Linked DNA regions of Drosophila melanogaster. Changing the gene in region 1 together with any one later gene gives a genetic interaction. Each region holds a gene or a part of one and is shown in the gene's direction. Other genes may lie near its edges.

What was found.
Region 2: of mus304 (region 1) and tefu, changing one enhances a phenotype caused by changing the other (phenotypic enhancement), as found in Drosophila melanogaster (2 studies listed by BioGRID).
Region 3: of mus304 (region 1) and PolA1, changing one enhances a phenotype caused by changing the other (phenotypic enhancement), as found in Drosophila melanogaster (one study listed by BioGRID).

What each region holds. Positions count from the first base shown.
Region 1 is NT_037436.4:18,108,181-18,113,351, forward strand, and holds mus304 (mutagen-sensitive 304), read left to right. Parts: upstream 1-1,633; 5' UTR 1,634-1,734; coding exon 1,735-2,370; intron 2,371-2,449; coding exon 2,450-3,950; intron 3,951-4,023; coding exon 4,024-4,203; intron 4,204-4,269; coding exon 4,270-4,493; 3' UTR 4,494-4,667; downstream 4,668-5,171. Other genes in the region: Polr3D (RNA polymerase III subunit D), read right to left, coding at 1-347, 400-468, 541-920, 980-1,212. UniProt on the Drosophila melanogaster protein: DNA damage checkpoint protein required for chromosome break repair and for genomic stability during development.
Region 2 is NT_033777.3:15,239,192-15,243,767, reverse strand, and holds the start of tefu (telomere fusion), read left to right. Parts: upstream 1-1,531; 5' UTR 1,532-1,547; intron 1,548-1,605; 5' UTR 1,606-1,624; coding exon 1,625-1,825; intron 1,826-1,883; coding exon 1,884-1,992; intron 1,993-2,043; coding exon 2,044-2,229; intron 2,230-2,287; coding exon 2,288-2,508; intron 2,509-2,564; coding exon 2,565-2,909; intron 2,910-2,970; coding exon 2,971-4,074; intron 4,075-4,128; coding exon 4,129-4,306; intron 4,307-4,363; coding exon 4,364-4,533; intron 4,534-4,576. UniProt on the Drosophila melanogaster protein: Serine/threonine-protein kinase which recognizes the substrate consensus sequence [ST]-Q. Required to suppress spontaneous apoptosis of proliferating cells during development, and for their proper differentiation. Required for female fertility.
Region 3 is NT_033777.3:21,666,017-21,673,618, reverse strand, and holds PolA1 (DNA polymerase alpha subunit 1), read left to right. Parts: upstream 1-1,868; 5' UTR 1,869-1,973; coding exon 1,974-1,989; intron 1,990-2,047; coding exon 2,048-2,242; intron 2,243-2,295; coding exon 2,296-3,314; intron 3,315-3,379; coding exon 3,380-5,940; intron 5,941-6,000; coding exon 6,001-6,479; intron 6,480-6,808; coding exon 6,809-7,005; 3' UTR 7,006-7,057; downstream 7,058-7,602. Other genes in the region: CG31176 (uncharacterized protein), read left to right, coding at 1-259; Jhbp16 (juvenile hormone binding protein 16), read right to left, coding at 7,093-7,366, 7,483-7,602. UniProt on the Drosophila melanogaster protein: Catalytic subunit of the DNA polymerase alpha complex (also known as the alpha DNA polymerase-primase complex) which plays an essential role in the initiation of DNA synthesis.

The sequences.
Region 1 (5,171 bases):
TTTAACGCGACCGGATTTGTACCTCAGAATCTTGCCGATCTGCCCTTCTTCCAGCTGCCGTAGTACACTGCCCTTGGGTCCGTTTGAGCATTTGTCTGCAGGACTTGCTGGTTCCGATTCACTGGTGGCCTGATGATCTCCTTTAGACGGTTCCGGATCTTCGGAATCGTCGCCCACACATGGCAACACATCTGGCAGTTGCATGAGAAAGATCTGCGCTTCGCTGGAGTCCAGAAAGTTACCAATGGTGCGTGGGTAGCGACCGTACTGCAGCGGAGGTTCCTCTAAACTGGCTGCCTGGGCAGCCACATGCAGCTGTTGCAAATGCTGGGCCACTGCCAAAGTGTCTAGGAGCGAAATCAAATTAGATTATGCCATTTTTAAAGCTTAGCGCCTTACCCTTAAGTGTTGAGGTTGAACTGGCGATTTCTTGCTTCGCAATCGGTGTCTTCTGGGTGACCCAGAGTCCTAACGTTTATAAACAAATAAAGCATGAATTTCTTCTGCCCGTGTGCATCAAAAAGTGCTTGTAAAACGTACCCTCTTTTAGCAGGATGGGCCTGAGTGCCATCTCAGTCTTGTTAGCCTCCTCTTCGCTGAGCTCGCCGCCACTGGCGTCCGACTCGCCCAAGAGCTCCTTGATCCGCTCGGCCTGGCTCTTGTCGTCCTTGCGATCCACCCGTTTCCTGGTCACGGACACCTCCTCACCGCCCCGTGCATATGCCGTTCCATTTCCTGTGGACCTTCGCACATGAACATCGCCTGCTCCTTCGGAGAAGAGTCCCTGGGTTTGGATGAGCGTGGAGTTGCCCCCGCCAGCGGAATTTCCACCTCGACCACGTGTTGCTCCAGTGCCGTTGCCACGTCCACCTCTGCGGCCGCTCCTTGGCTGCGTGGTGTCCTTGGATGTCTTGACATTGCTGTGAATCAAATGAGATGATGAAAAGAATGACTCCCCCTGGGCCATTCCACAACTCACGCATTTTTATTGCGCACAGCATTCAAATTGGGAGCAAAGACCTTTTTGCTGGCTGTCCCAGCGCCGCGCCCACCAAGGGTCAAGTCGCGGGCGGGGGTCAGCCTGGTCATTCCGTTTAGCGTCTCCAGTGGGCGTGCACCGCCACCAGACTGACCATTATTCGTGGTGGACCCACTGGCTCCACTGATGGTCGAAGCTGCTGCTGTGGTGACCGTCATCCTCTTCGCTGGCATGGCGTTCCATTCGCGCCGCCCGTCACCTCGAAAATTCGACCGAAGTCGCTGGGTTCTGGTTTCCCCGTAAGTCCTTTAGTTTTGGGCTAGAATTTCCGCAGAATTCTTTGATTTTCCTTTGAGGTTAATGGGAAAGCTGAGTCGATACACCACATGCCGATACACCGCAGTCGATAGACTTGAGTGTAGCCAGATGACTTTGGTTTTGCTCAATATTAATCGGATTTTGAAACTGTGATTGTAGCGGGTTTCTATCGGCGCTTAAAAAAAACCAGCATAATAACAAAGAGCGATATTACAAAACTGGCTTTTTGTTGCAGTAAATCCTAATGTAGTATTTTTCTATGCAACATGGATTCGAAACATAATCTCTATTTTGGTTGGGCAAATCCATCGTTGCGATCAAATCCATCTGGCAACGCTAGTTGAGCTCTACATTTTATAAACAAAGCAAACCGGCAAAATAATCTACGACTTTCCATGGCCAAAAAGTAACGAAATATAGCGGAAACTGGAGGAACCATGGCCAAGCGCTTTTCTGCCATGAAAGACTTCGCGCGGTGCAAGAAACCGCGCCTGGATGTTAGCGTTACCCGCGGATCAGCGCGACCCAGTCCACCGAGGAACAATTTCGATGGGATTCTCTGGGACGACGATGACGATGTCATCCTGATGGCCACCCAGCTGGCGGAGGCGGAAATCGAGGCGGAGGAGCGGAAAAAGAAGGGCGGAACAGAGGTGGACATCGGCAACAGCGAGGTCACCTTCAGCGAATTTGCACCCACTTTTCAGGGCTCAACCAGCACACAGCAAATGTTTCCGCCGCCACCGCCGCCACAAAAGAAGCCTACTTCCCTGGATATGGATGCGATTTTCGCGGATGATGATGATTTCGATTTTCTGGCCGTTACCCTCATGGACAGTGAGCCACAAAAGATGCCGGAGCCGAAGACCAGCACAAGTAGGATAACTACCAGCAGCATAAGTGTTCAGCAGAAAACCACGACCACGACGACCATCAATGCCACGCAATCCCGCCAGCAGGAGCATCAGCTAAAGTTTCTCATGGATAGGATTGAAGCCCTTAAGCGGGAAAACGCGCAGCTGGAAAAGAATTTGGGCGACAGTAAGGAACGCAATGAGATCAAGTCTGGTGAGGTAGGTGGACATCGGGGTGGAACTATAACACCGATTCTAGACCTTACAGAAACTAATCCATTTATATTTATTTCTCTAGGTTTCCTTACTTCGTGATGAGCTGAAGCACTTGCGCCAGCAGCTGCAGGCTAGCAAAATGGAAAAGCTGGCTTTGGCCGACGAAACGAATCGGGATTGCAACAAAAAAGTGGCAGAAGCGGCCAAACAAATTGCGGCCAAGGACATCGAGTTGAAGATTAAGAACGCCGAGTTCTCAAAGTTGAAGACACAGCAAAAAGCCCATGAAAGAAGCATGAATTCCAGCATGAGCATTTTACAGGCTGCTCCAGATCCTTTGGAGAAACGCTTATCACTTCGCTTGAATAGGCTTAACATACACAGATCTGTGCCCGGGCTGAAAACCGATAATGGCAGTGTGTTCGAATACAGCGAAAATGAGGATCAGACTAAGAAACGAAGAAATCATTTTGAACTGGAATTAAAGCAACTGCTACTTCATTACGCTCGGCTGCAGGCAAAGCCGGAATCTGTGGATAACCTCCTGCCAAGAATACTCTCGTCGGTCGGCAAGGTATTCACGGAGTTTGCTTCGTATGCTCAAAGTTTGGACTTTCCACACAACTGCATGCTGTATCCCTACAATCCCCACAACCTAGAGGAGGAAGTTCATCGCATTTCCCTGACCCATCAGAGCTGTTTGTATGATAACGAAAAGGCTGTTCCGCTGCGTCGCTTCATAGCTACCTTGGCTTTGATTTGCCGGCGAGAGGAAAGGATTTCTAGAGGTCTCACGGAGTGGAAAGAAAATGATCTGGGACTGCTAGATATGGCTATTGAAGCTATCACAAAACTAGGATTTTCCTACGAGGTCGGCCAACACTTTGGATTGCTGGAAGCCTTGACTTCACTCCTAAATAGCCTCCTACAAGAAAATGCCCTTCTTCAACATAACGAGGAGCTACTCTTCGATCTGCTTAAGCAGTTAGTTTTTACTCGTCCCAGTCCTTGGGTTTTTGCTGAGCTTAGCTCCTGCTTTTTAAGCTGCCTTAGACATCCCCAACTTATGGATAAAATGTGTGTGAATAGTCCCAAGGACTGCTTTGTATCGGATCGCGTTCGCTCCGTTTATCGATTTGGTCCCGACTCCTGTTTACTTCAGGTCTACGCGGGCCTACTCGAGCTATGCTTCTTTAGTGAAACTCCTCTGCGGCAGGACTACTTTCAGTTGCTGCTCAAGATCGGAGGAAATCATGTGCGATTCGCGTTCGAGTGCTTCAAAAACCCACCGGATTTCATACTTGAAATGCTGCCTTACTTTGCCGACGATGGCGACGAGGACTCCAGCGATGGTACTCTGATGAAAACAGGCACCAGTCTGAGCTTCAACTCCACAGGAGCTGTGCAGGGATCGGTCTCCAATGGATCGACATCAGCGTCTGTTTCGAACCCGAATCAAAATTCAAATTCAAGTACAACGCAGCGAGGAAAAGGCTGCGAGTGCTATGTAAAGTTGTGCCTCAGTGCGGTAACAATTGTCTTCCAGGTGATGCACCAATGGATGTTGCACAGCAGGAAAGCAGGTGCGTTTGAGCTAAAAAAAAATCATTTTCATATGATCAATGACACGAATCAATATTTGTGCTTTCTATTTAGGCACCGAAGAAGTTGGCGAGATCTCCCGCATCGCAGTGCACCTTCTGTCCCTTGTCTTTCACGAGTATTACCTCACCTGTCTGTTTCGCGACTCCGAGGAGACGACCAAGCATTACCTTAGCCTCATATGCAACTGGTGGAGCGAGCATGCGAACCTGCTTGGTTTTCAGTCAATACATTGTAAATGACCTAACAACATTCCATATTTTCCGTTGCTAACTTTTTAAATATTTTCCTGTCATTTAGTGCGTTTGTTAAACCAACTGGTTAAAGCCCATTTCATGCTGAAACCCCTTCATCTGGAGGCCAAGCCCAATAATCCAGTCAACGACCTCTCCGAATGGAAACGCATTGTCAAGAATGCGGATGACCAAAGGGCTGTGAAGTCGGCTGTGACAGTTGATCCCAGCAAATTACTCAACACCGACTTCTTTAGTGCCCTTAAACGGGAGGAGAACACTTTTGAGTAGTTATAGTTAGCTTAAACGTTTTAGTAATATATACATATAGGTGTGGCGTTAATTTATTGTGAAGTTTCAAATGCTATGTTAAGAATTGAAAAGGCTCGCTGCACAAATTTAGAGCTTAAAAAACGCATTCCAAAATACAAATATGTAATGCAGCGTTTAAAGAAACCGCTAAATAATCGATTTTTCATTTCGATATCAATTTACGAATCGATAATACAAAATATTTGTTGGTGGTTCAGCTTATCGTTTCGAAGGAACTTGATAAAACAGCTGATATGGCTCAATTTAACCAGTTCAGTTTGCATGGAACTAGTTTGTAAGCGCGATGCTTTTCTTAATTTTGTAAATATTTAGATGTTTTTCAGCATTTACATTTTAAACCCGTGCTTATTGTGTATAAAATAATGTATTCTGATTAAAAGTTCAACGTGCACTTATGGTGCTTACTGCAATAAGCGTGATTCAATGCAAATGCTTATATTTGTTGATTTAATAAACATTCGCAAAGGTGGGTTCAAATAAACAAATACTTCCTTCTCACAATAATAAGAAAGTATCATTGTAATATGATCATAGAACAAAACATCTAAGAACTTTTGTTTTTTTCGTTTCACATGCATATATTTTTAACATGCATTTCTGTATACATATATATATATGTATATATGTATATATGTA
Region 2 (4,576 bases), on another chromosome or scaffold:
AAAACGCAAACACACGCGCCCTCACAAGCACACACACACATGCATATACTTAAATATATGTAAACCACGCTGCTGAAGCCAGGTCATTTTGGAGGGTGATTCGTATGTGCGAGCGAGGGAGACAACCACTGTGTCCGGGACGGCTTTGCGTGTGTTGGTTTTACCCGCTCACAAACACACGTGCCCGCACTTTGAATGCCGGTTGGCAACGTGTTTTTTTTTAGCTAAGTATATTTAATAAAAGGCCGCATAATGTATAAATTTATGAATGTTAGTTCTATTTATAAACAATGTTTATATGCCTTGACTGTATGTAAGGGAATCCAACATGTTTCTATAGCAGTATAGCATTAAAATTAAATGATCAGACATGCACGCATTTTTGTGTGGTTGTGTGGGGGGGGGGGAAGCCTCACATTTTTCCCAAGCTGGAATATTCCAGCAAAAGAGCAATGGCACTCAAAATAAATTACCAATTACGATGAGTAACTTGGACATTGATTTATTGGAAACAGAAACAATAAAAATCACAAGCAATGTCAAGACCCCGCAACGGATGACGCAAGTTTTCTCTCACACATACTCACTCAACCGAAAGTAGACTGTGACTGCAGTGAGTGGGAAGCGGCACGTTTTCCAGTGGAATATTCCAGATAATCACAATCAAGCATTAGGCATCAATATGCAATTAGTCAGAACTTCCAAAGTTTCTAGAATCTTAATTTGCCTAATTAATAGGCGCTCTATGATGCACCTTTGCAATTATGTATGTAAGTGTGCATCGAAGCGTTACTCACTGGGGTCGAAAGTTCGAGAAACCTTGCCTTCTTTGAGAGTATTGATTAAATAGTAAAGGGGCTACAAAAAACACGTGGTTTGATTTCAAATTATTTTCCGGCAAACTTAATCGAGGTGGTCGCACTTTTTTTAACAACGAAATAAATACTAAAATGTAAATAAACGCTTACCTTGTGTGTTGTTTCTTAGAAAGTACTAAAATATAACCGTTTAATTGCTACTTCACTTTTAATCTGCCGCACCTTCGATCAAACTGGCTGGCGTTTTTTTCTGAATTACACCCGTACAAAATTTGCGAATGCCTTTTATATACAAGCAAAAGTGTTACCAAAGCCATCAACAATTTTAGTACTAAATTCCCAGGGGTGTAACCGCAAAATTCTTGGCCACCCTAATAAGCGCTTCACACAGAAGTCCAGAAATGTTGACGCAGAACGTTCACACCGAAACTGTAAAGTCGTAGAAATTGGCTAATATGTAGTAGAAGCGCTGAACGTAGCTTGTTACTTTAAAAACCACATTTCCTATTCCTTTCTTAATGAATATAATTCATAATATAGGAATAATTAATGAAGGAACAGTGGAATATGGAACATGGGATTTTTTTATTTATAAATCTTTCGTTATATAAGGTTATTCTAGTTCTCCATCGGCACTTATTTGACGCACACGGCTGCCCAGCCATTTAACAACAGTGCTGTTCTTATTGATCGTGGTATTTTTTGGCGCTCTGGCAGAGGTCACTCTAAGTACATTTTGAGAGATCATTTTATGTTTAGTTTAATAATTAATACAACATTACAACAGGTTATGCCGGGCAGCCAGGATGAGTGCACTTCTAAACGAAATCCAGCGGATACTCGGGGACCTTCAGTCGGGGAAGGCAGCCAGCCGAAACAAGGGCATCCAACAGCTGGATGAAAAGCTCTCAAGTTGCCGAGAGGATCTGGATAAGTTGTTTCTTAGCAAAACTTCGGATATATCCTGGACCACAATCTTTGAAGCGTCGAAGGAGGCTCTCTTTAAGGTTCCTAGCCATTATCGTTAAACAATCAGTTCCATTTTAATTGTTAACCTAATGATAGCAAGCTGGAAATCTGGAGGATGTCAACGAGAAAGTATTCAAAACGCTGGCGGGAAAAAACTACTTGTACGATAATGTCCTCGAGAAGATCACACAATTCAACTTGGAAGGTAACTCCTAAACACTTAAACACGTTATTAAAGCTAACCTGTGATTTCCAGCGGGGTCGCAGACCTCCGGAAATGGGCATTTCCTGGCCAAAACAAGCATATTTAGTGCATTCGAGGATGGCATCAAGATGCGAGTGGTAGTCAAGTATTTTGGCGACCGCATTCTGAGCCTGCTGGAAAAGGGCATTTACTCATCGGTCAGCTATGTGCGCGACCTTAAAATTAACGAATACAGTAGTAAGTTACTTTCTGGCCCAAAAGAGACTCTTTTTTTTAATTTGATGATGTATTACAGGGATTCTCTCCTATCTTTTTGAACTGAATGTCGATATGGACGAGGTCTTGCGAACCAGAATACTGAAATGCATCACAAGAACCGTCAGTTTGGCCAAGGACCGGGTTCAGCTGCACGTGGATCTAGTGGAATATCTGCCGGAGCTCAGCAGCTTTGCGCTCTCCGCTTTTGGAGCCAGAAAAACTGAGATTGTTCGCGTCTACTTAATATTTGCATCAGAGGTAGGACTCTTATTATATCTTTAGATAATGTTAAAAACTTTGCAACAATCTTTCAGCTTGCTGTCAACTACAATCACCAATTGAACGTGCACATGCAGGAGATTCTACCTAAACTATGCGAGTATCATGACGAGGATGCGTTCCGGGACGACACCAGAAATCTGTTCTTTCAGTGCGTTTCAAAGTCGCTCCATTCAATGTATCTCAAAATGGATATGTGTGACTTTAATACACTCGGTGTGCCTGTTCATGAAAAGTGGCCGCAAACTTTACTGCGGCTGAAAACTATTGTCAATGTGGAGATCCGAAAGAATTCCTGGGCTCGCTGCAAGAACGCACTACTGAGCAATAATAAATTTTCTGACCCCTTCATCAAGATGTCTGCCCTGGCTATGTATATAGTACGTCGCATAAGCTAGTAATATTTAATATATTTAATTTTAATTATATTATTATTTGCAGGTGCTTTGGCACTTGGAGACGAAAAAGGCTGATGAAAATGGGGAAGGCGATGCGCCGAAAAAGATCCCGAAGCCTGCAGATAAAATGGAAACTATATTTAGTCTGATCGACAAAAAGGAAAACACCTTTAACGACGTCTGGCTTGCGATATTCACTGAGATACTTCAGCTGAGTAGCGTGATCCTAAATGTGGCCAACTACCAAATGGCGCTAACCACCGTGGCGGAAATAATGCAAATGTACGGCAATGCGAAAAATCTCCGGAACCTTCGGTTATGCCTGGCTCATCTTTTGACTAAAGAACAGGAGCTTTTGCACTCTAAATCTATTCGGGAGGATTTTCTGGGTGAGCTTTGGAGTCAAATGGCAAACCAGCTCATATCAGAGACAACAACAAACAGTGAGGAGATCAAGGAGAAGCAATTGGTGCTGCAGATGCTGATCAGACACAATAAACTAAATCAAAAGTTGTCCAGCACGCTGCTTAACAATATTATCTCGAATGAAATGCTAAAGCGCAACGAATGCTTAGCGACGATTCGAGAGATCTTCATCCATGCTGATAAATGTGGTCAAGATAAGGCGTCCGCTGACTTAGAACCCATCATAGCTTGGGCATACGGAAGTGCGGATAGATTCATCGCCGCTCAGATGATACACAATATAGACAGTATTGATGCCCAGTTGCAGGCGGATACTTTTGCAATCAGCATTATAAATTTTTTGGATGTCCAGCAATTGCGACAGATCTCTCAATCAGAACACATTGTTCCTTCCACCGAACGCAATCTTTTGGCCTACAAGTACAACGAACAGCTTATTTGCTTTGACAAGGACTACGCCACTCCTTTTGAGTCAATCACTCACATTCAGAGCGAAACAAAGAATTGTTTGATTCAATCCAATTATGATTGCCTAATGCGAGGCCTTAACTTTGAGATCGCGAAGGAGAACAAACCGGCGGCAATAATAAAAAACCTGAATAGTCTATTAAAGTTGATCTGCACAATGGAAAGGCTTTTGCATTACAAGGTTTTCGATGCAGATACCTATACTGGCTGTCCACTTATAAAAAGAATTGGACTATATCTCAGCCACATTGAGGTGGGTGCCAAATGAATAATCTTTCAAAAACTCGTTTTCTAATACCCATTTCAGTTCCAGCTCAAGGCGAACGGAGCTGAGATTTTAGATAAGAGCGATTTACCAGAGATTTTACGTCTGGAAATCTATGTACTTGATGTATTCAGGACGAATTTAGTCTTACTCGATTATTTGGAAAGGCAACCCATTGAAATGTTGGTGGAATTTGTTGGCGCTGCTCTCAAGTTGCATTGTAATGTAGTTTTCAATTAACGTATCGCTTTAATAATTGAAGAGTGGAATATTTTAGCCATGCAGAGGGAGCGATCTGTAGATGCAGATCATGGAACAATAACGCGTCTGTGCCTTAATATTTTGGCTGGTCTTTGTGCGTACAATTCGCACCGGGATGAAGCATTCGAGCACATAGTAAAGGTAACGATGCGTTGGCATCCACAGGATGTGCTTATTGTGACCAAGGTAGGAGTTATATCGTAACCAAAACAGAAATAATTTTGAAATC
Region 3 (7,602 bases), on another chromosome or scaffold:
CGCCCAGGTTTATCGCTCGAACAACGGCCTGGATGTTCTGGACTGCGCTGGACTGGAGCACCACAACGCGGCCACCACTTCCGGTCACTCAGGCAGCGGCTTCTCCCAGCGCCTCAGGGAACTGGCCGCCTCCGCCGGACTGCTCTCCCTGAAGCCCCGCCAGCCTCTCAAGCCGGTGATCAAGACGCGTGGCTCCCCCGGACCGGAGTTCCCCAAGAAGGTCACCTTTAGTGCCTTTGCCACCGTGCAGGTGGTGTGAAGGGCGTGAACAGTGGGTCTAGCATCTGTTGCATCTGTGCAGGCACAGAGCAAGGTAATAACATTTACTTTTTGTTTTTTAAGTATTTTTAAGAATACTCCAGATCAAGATAATTCTTTGATACAAAATAAACTTTAGAAAAATATGAAATACATTTAAGCAAGCAATGTAATTATACTGGAATAAGAATTGCAACCCACTTTATATTCTGATTTAATATAGTTACATAATAACATAGTATAATATTAAACCAATTGTAAACTGAATTATTCATTGATTCTTTTTCTTCTCTTTTCATTTCAGTATCATCTTGCACTTGTTAACGATTATTTCTTGTTGTTTTTATATTTGTTGCTGTTGTTAAATGTTTAGCCAAAACTATGGAAACCATACACGGAGAAAAATTCCTTAAAACATAAAAAAAAAACATAATAAATTGTTGTGCCATGTCTGTGGCTTGAAATAAAAATGAAAACCATATAGAAATGAATAACACACCCCATAGCTAAAGAAAATACCTCAAGGATCCTAAATAACTGCCCTCCTTTATCTTATTTTATCTGCTTTGCTTAACTGCCCTCCTTTATCTTATTTTATCTGCTTTGCTGTACATTCTGGTAGACTGACATTTTAATATCCTTTCTATAGTTCCTCTCGATCACCCTATCCTAAAACAGTATTTTCCATATTTTCTCATCTTCCGAAATCTTTCCTCACCAACACACCCGAAAATAATTGTAAAATATAACGACTGCAAGTGCAGAAATTCTAAATATTTACTATTAAATTGTAAATATGTACGAATTTTTGCTTATAACAATTAAACAGCAAATATAGTCATAAATATATGTATTCATGTAATATGTAAGTCTGTTTTGTGTATGTGTGTATATATATAAACCATGATTTTGCATTGATAATTATATAGGGTATGAAATCACCTTTCAAATCCACACAAATTTTAATCGAAATTGCTGTATATTGTATTTAAAGTATAATATTATATATATCTTATAAGCCTAATATTATGCATGATAAATAAAATACGATTAAAACCAAACAAACTATTGTCTTTTAATTTGGGAATAAAAACATATGACAAGCACATTAAAAGGGGATCTTCATGGAGCAACTGCTAATGGAAAAGTTTTTCTTTTTGTGATCCACTGCAATTAAAAAGCTGAAGCTCGAAAATGTAAAATCTAAAAGAACGCCCTTTAAATGGTGATCATTGTTCTTTCTTACTTGGTGAATTCATTTCAATTATCAGGTCGGATTTCCCGCCAAAATATAGCAGTCATTTTAAATCGCTGTAACTGTTATGTTAACTATTCGTGTTAACTGTAATCGATCATTTGTGCTTACAGATTAGACGCTAACAGTGCCCAGAGCTAACATAACGCGCTGCCACCTATCGATATATTACCACTCAGAAATTCATAAAATAGAGATGTTACTTAATAATAAAATTGCAATTTGGGATTAAGTTATTGTATGGCTTTTATTTTTTTTAATTTCCTTACATTCTTCCTCTTCTTAACGACACTATCGATATTACATTGCAAAAGTCCGGCAGCGCTTTATGTATCGTAGCTCTGTTATCGATATGTTCCCGCCATTCCCGCTTTGATCATCCTCCAGCCCTGGTCACAAAACAATTTTTGCAAACTGCAGCACAACACGGGGAAATTATTATCAAAGTTAGCCAGTTGCAATGTCTGAATCACCGTGTAAGTTAATAAGATAACTCCCTTAAACATATTTTTTACCGAAATTATAAATTTCCAGCTGAACCGCGCGCTAAGCGCCAGAGAGTAGACAAAAATGGTAGGTTCGCCGCCATGGAGCGACTGCGTCAGCTGAAGGGAACCAAGAACAAATGCAAAGTGGAGGACCAGGTGGACGATGTATACGATGTGGTTGATGAGCGGGAGTACGCGAAGAGGGCGCAGGAAAAGTACGGTGACGATTGGATCGAAGAGGGTAAGTTGGAACTCTGAACTCTATACTTTATAATACTAAATTTTAACTTTTAGATGGTACTGGTTATGCAGAAGATCTTCGGGATTTCTTCGAGGACGAAGATGAGTACTCCGATGGGGAGGAGGATCGGAAGGACTCGAAGAAGAAGAAGGGTGTTGCCCCCAACAGCAAAAAGAGACCACGGGAGAATGAAAAACCAGTAACAGGAAAAGCATCCATCAAGAATCTATTCAGCAATGCAGTGCCCAAAAAGATGGATGTAAAGACCAGTGTGAAAGACGATGATATCCTTGCTGATATTTTGGGCGAAATAAAGGAAGAGCCTGCAGCGACGTCAGAAAAGGCGGAAAAGGTTATAGCCCCAGCGAAAATATCAGTTACGTCGCGTAAATTCGATGCCGCCGCTGCCAAGGAATACATGAATAGTTTTCTAAACAACATCAAAGTTCAGGAGCAGGAACGTAAGAAAGCGGAGGCCAGTAGCGATAACGAGATGCTGGAGCGCATTCTGAAGCCCAAGGCAGCAGTTCCAAACACAAAGGTGGCCTTTTTCTCCAGTCCTACAATCAAAAAAGAGCCCATGCCTGAAAAGACACCTGCAAAAAAAGCCACCGAAGATCCATTCTCCGACAATGAAATGGACTTTAGCTGTCTGGATGACGATGAAAACCAGTTTGATGTGGAGAAGACACAGCAGACCGAGAAGGTTTCCCAAACGAAAACAGCAGCTGAGAAAACATCCCAAAGCAAAGTCGCCGAAAAATCAGCTCCCAAAAAAGAAACAACTGGATCGCCAAAGGAATCGGAATCGGAGGACATTAGTAGGTTGCTGAACAATTGGGAGTCTATATGCCAAATGGACGATGATTTTGAAAAGTCCGTGCTCACCACGGAGCAGGATTCGACAATCTCCTCAGATCAACAGCTTCGGTTCTGGTACTGGGAGGCCTATGAGGATCCAGTAAAAATGCCCGGCGAAGTCTTCCTGTTCGGTCGGACCGCAGATGGAAAGTCCGTCTGTCTGCGTGTACAGAACATCAACCGTGTGCTCTATCTGCTGCCCCGACAATTTGTGAGTATTATTCTACAAATACTTAGTCCTTAGGTGAAGTGTTGTTTCTGAATATATTCTTTTAGCTCTTAGATCCCATTTCGAAGGAGCCCACCAAGCAGAAGGTGACCGTCGCAGACATATACAAGGAGTTCGACAGCGAGGTGGCAAACCAACTGAAGCTCGAGTTCTTTCGATCCCGCAAGGTCACCAAGAGTTTTGCCCATCACGCTATCGGTATTGAAGTTCCGCAATCTTGCGATTACTTGGAGGTTCACTACGATGGAAAGAAACCACTGCCCAATTTGTCGGCTGACAAGAAATACAATTCTATAGCACACATATTCGGCGCCACCACCAATGCACTCGAAAGATTCCTCTTAGATCGGAAAATCAAAGGTCCCTGTTGGCTGCAGGTGACTGGATTCAAGGTGAGCCCAACTCCCATGAGTTGGTGTAACACCGAGGTCACATTGACAGAGCCCAAGAATGTAGAGTTGGTGCAAGATAAGGGAAAGCCAGCGCCACCACCTCCACTTACGCTACTATCGCTTAATGTTCGCACCTCAATGAATCCGAAAACATCGAGAAACGAGATATGCATGATTTCCATGCTGACCCACAATCGTTTCCATATCGACCGCCCTGCTCCACAGCCCGCTTTCAATCGACATATGTGCGCTTTGACTCGCCCGGCGGTGGTTAGTTGGCCTTTAGATTTGAACTTTGAGATGGCAAAATATAAGTCTACCACAGTGCACAAACATGACTCAGAGAGAGCCCTGTTGAGTTGGTTCTTAGCTCAGTACCAGAAAATAGATGCAGATCTCATTGTAACCTTCGATTCCATGGATTGTCAACTAAATGTAATAACCGATCAAATTGTAGCCCTGAAGATTCCCCAATGGTCTCGAATGGGGCGACTGAGGCTGAGCCAATCGTTTGGCAAGCGATTGCTGGAACATTTCGTCGGCAGAATGGTTTGTGATGTAAAGCGATCTGCAGAGGAGTGTATAAGAGCAAGATCCTATGATCTGCAAACGCTATGCAAACAAGTACTGAAGCTTAAGGAATCGGAGAGAATGGAAGTGAATGCCGATGATCTGCTAGAGATGTATGAGAAAGGAGAAAGCATTACCAAGCTCATATCGCTCACCATGCAGGACAATTCATATTTACTAAGGCTGATGTGTGAGCTCAACATCATGCCGTTGGCGCTACAAATCACTAATATCTGCGGCAATACCATGACCAGGACCCTTCAAGGAGGTCGTTCTGAACGAAATGAGTTCTTGTTGCTGCATGCCTTCCACGAGAAGAATTACATAGTGCCGGACAAGAAGCCGGTTTCTAAACGAAGTGGTGCAGGAGATACGGATGCTACGCTTTCAGGTGCAGATGCGACGATGCAAACCAAAAAGAAGGCAGCCTATGCTGGTGGCTTAGTGTTGGAGCCCATGCGTGGTCTCTACGAGAAGTACGTTCTCCTCATGGACTTTAACTCCCTGTACCCCAGTATAATACAGGAGTACAACATATGCTTCACCACCGTCCAACAGCCGGTGGATGCAGATGAGTTGCCCACCCTACCCGACTCGAAAACGGAACCTGGAATCTTACCCCTTCAATTGAAACGCTTGGTGGAGTCGCGAAAAGAGGTGAAAAAGCTAATGGCAGCGCCTGATCTTTCGCCGGAACTCCAGATGCAGTACCACATTCGGCAGATGGCCCTGAAGCTAACTGCGAACTCCATGTATGGTTGCTTGGGTTTCGCCCACTCCCGGTTCTTTGCCCAGCACTTGGCTGCTTTGGTCACCCACAAGGGCAGAGAAATCCTCACGAACACACAACAACTCGTGCAAAAGATGAACTATGACGTTGTTTATGGAGACACAGATTCCCTGATGATAAATACCAACATAACCGACTACGACCAGGTCTACAAGATTGGTCACAATATTAAGCAGAGTGTAAATAAACTATACAAGCAGCTGGAATTGGATATCGATGGAGTATTTGGCTGTTTGCTCTTGCTGAAGAAAAAGAAGTATGCCGCTATCAAGTTGAGCAAGGATTCCAAGGGAAACCTGAGGCGTGAACAGGAGCACAAGGGCCTGGATATAGTACGTCGCGATTGGTCTCAGCTGGCTGTAATGGTGGGAAAAGCCGTTCTCGATGAAGTGCTGTCGGAAAAGCCTTTGGAGGAGAAACTGGATGCAGTGCATGCCCAACTGGAGAAGATCAAAACTCAAATTGCAGAGGGTGTAGTACCGCTGCCACTGTTTGTCATCACCAAACAGTTAACTCGGACTCCCCAGGAATATGCCAATAGTGCTTCATTGCCCCACGTCCAGGTGGCCCTTCGTATGAATCGCGAGCGTAATAGGCGGTACAAAAAGGGCGATATGGTGGACTATGTGATCTGTTTGGATGGGACAACAAATGCTGCCATGCAGCGAGCATACCATTTGGATGAGCTCAAGACCAGTGAGGATAAGAAGCTGCAGCTGGACACGAATTACTACCTGGGACACCAGATCCATCCGGTAGTCACGCGAATGGTGGAGGTGCTGGAGGGAACCGATGCGAGTCGCATCGCCGAGTGTCTGGGCATGGACCCAACCAAGTTCCGTCAGAATGCGCAGAGGTACTTACTATCTTATTACTCCTTACAAACTCTAACCTAACGAATATTTTGGTTATGTAGAACCCAGCGAGAGAACACCGAGCAGTCGGAGGGTGAGTCCCTGCTCAAGACGACTCTGCAGTTGTATCGCCTGTGCGAACCGTTCCGCTTCCAGTGCGTTACCTGTAAGACGGAGCAGCTGATGGCGTCTGCGTACCGACCGGGTCCAAGCAACTCCCACATAGCCGTACTCCAGCAATGCGCTAAGTCCGAGTGCCAAACGGCACCGATTCAGTACCTGGCAAGCGTGCGCAATCAGCTGCAGCTTTCCATGCGGCAGTATGTGCAACGGTTCTATAAAAATTGGCTGGTCTGCGATCACCCGGATTGCAACTTCAACACCCGCACACACTCCTTGAGGAAGAAATCCCACCGCCCGCTGTGCCAAAAGTGCAGGAGCGGCAGCCTGCTGCGTCAGTATACGGAGCGGGACCTGTACAATCAGCTGTGCTACCTGCGATTCATGTTCGACCTCGGCAAGCAAACGCTGCAGCAAAAACGTAAGTAAATACAATGTAGTTATAAGCAGTATCAAAAACTAAAACAATAGTTTGTGTATAAGAACAAAATGAAGAATGTGGAGTACGAGAGAGAAATATCGACACTAAATAACAAGACACATGAAAGGAAAAATCAGTCGAAATATTTTATAGTTCCCGTGATCTCGACGGATTTCAGTAGTTCTTTATGCTTGTATCCTTGAATTCTTAAAAATTGTTGTAGTTTATATATTAGTTCTGACACCTAATACATATATTTCCCTTAAGATTGGTATCATTAAGTTTTACAGCATTTCATATTGAAATTATATTTTGTCCATATTATCAAGCCACCCTCACACCGGAGCTGGAGCAGGCCTATCAACTCCTATACGAAACGGTGGATCAGCAGTTGCAGAGCTCCTCCTACGTGATCATCTCGCTAAGCAAGCTCTTTGCCCGATCCCTGGCTCAGATGTCCCTGCAACCGTCCGTGGCGCAGCCCCAGATCGAAGCAATTCCGAGTGCTTTGGCGGATGTGGTCTAAGTGTTTAATTAACTAGCCTTTGTTATAAGTTCCATTAAAAATACTACAAAAGAGATACAGAGATACAGTATGGTTAACTAGATGAGGTCACGTGGCGAGGAACTTCTCGAGCGGAAAGTGCCGGAAGGACTCGTTGAATATATCCGTAAATGCCGTGCTAACCAACTCGTTAATCATCGGCTTGATGAAGGGCAATCCCAGCTGCCACATGCTGTTGATGACTCCATCGGCCAGTTGGTTGAGGGGCTGTCCCTGCAGCAAGTTCTCAATGTGCAGCTCCATTCCGCCGATGCGGTCCACCTCCACATGGACCTTGATGAGTGAGCCCGGACCGCCGATGCGCCTAACGCTGGTGGTTTGACTGAGGAAGTAAATAAAGTGAGCGATAGGTTGTCATGTAAGCCAAAAGCTATCAACAATACTGGTGTTTGCAACACAGCTTGGGAAATACATATTTCCATGCAACTCGGTGCCCACCTGTAATCGTAGAGGGTGAGGTTCCAGTGGCCTTTTCTGTTCATCTCAGTACCCAGCATCTTGGCGGCGAACTCGTACTCGCCCTCCAGACTTTTGTCGGGGAAATACTGAGTGTAGACG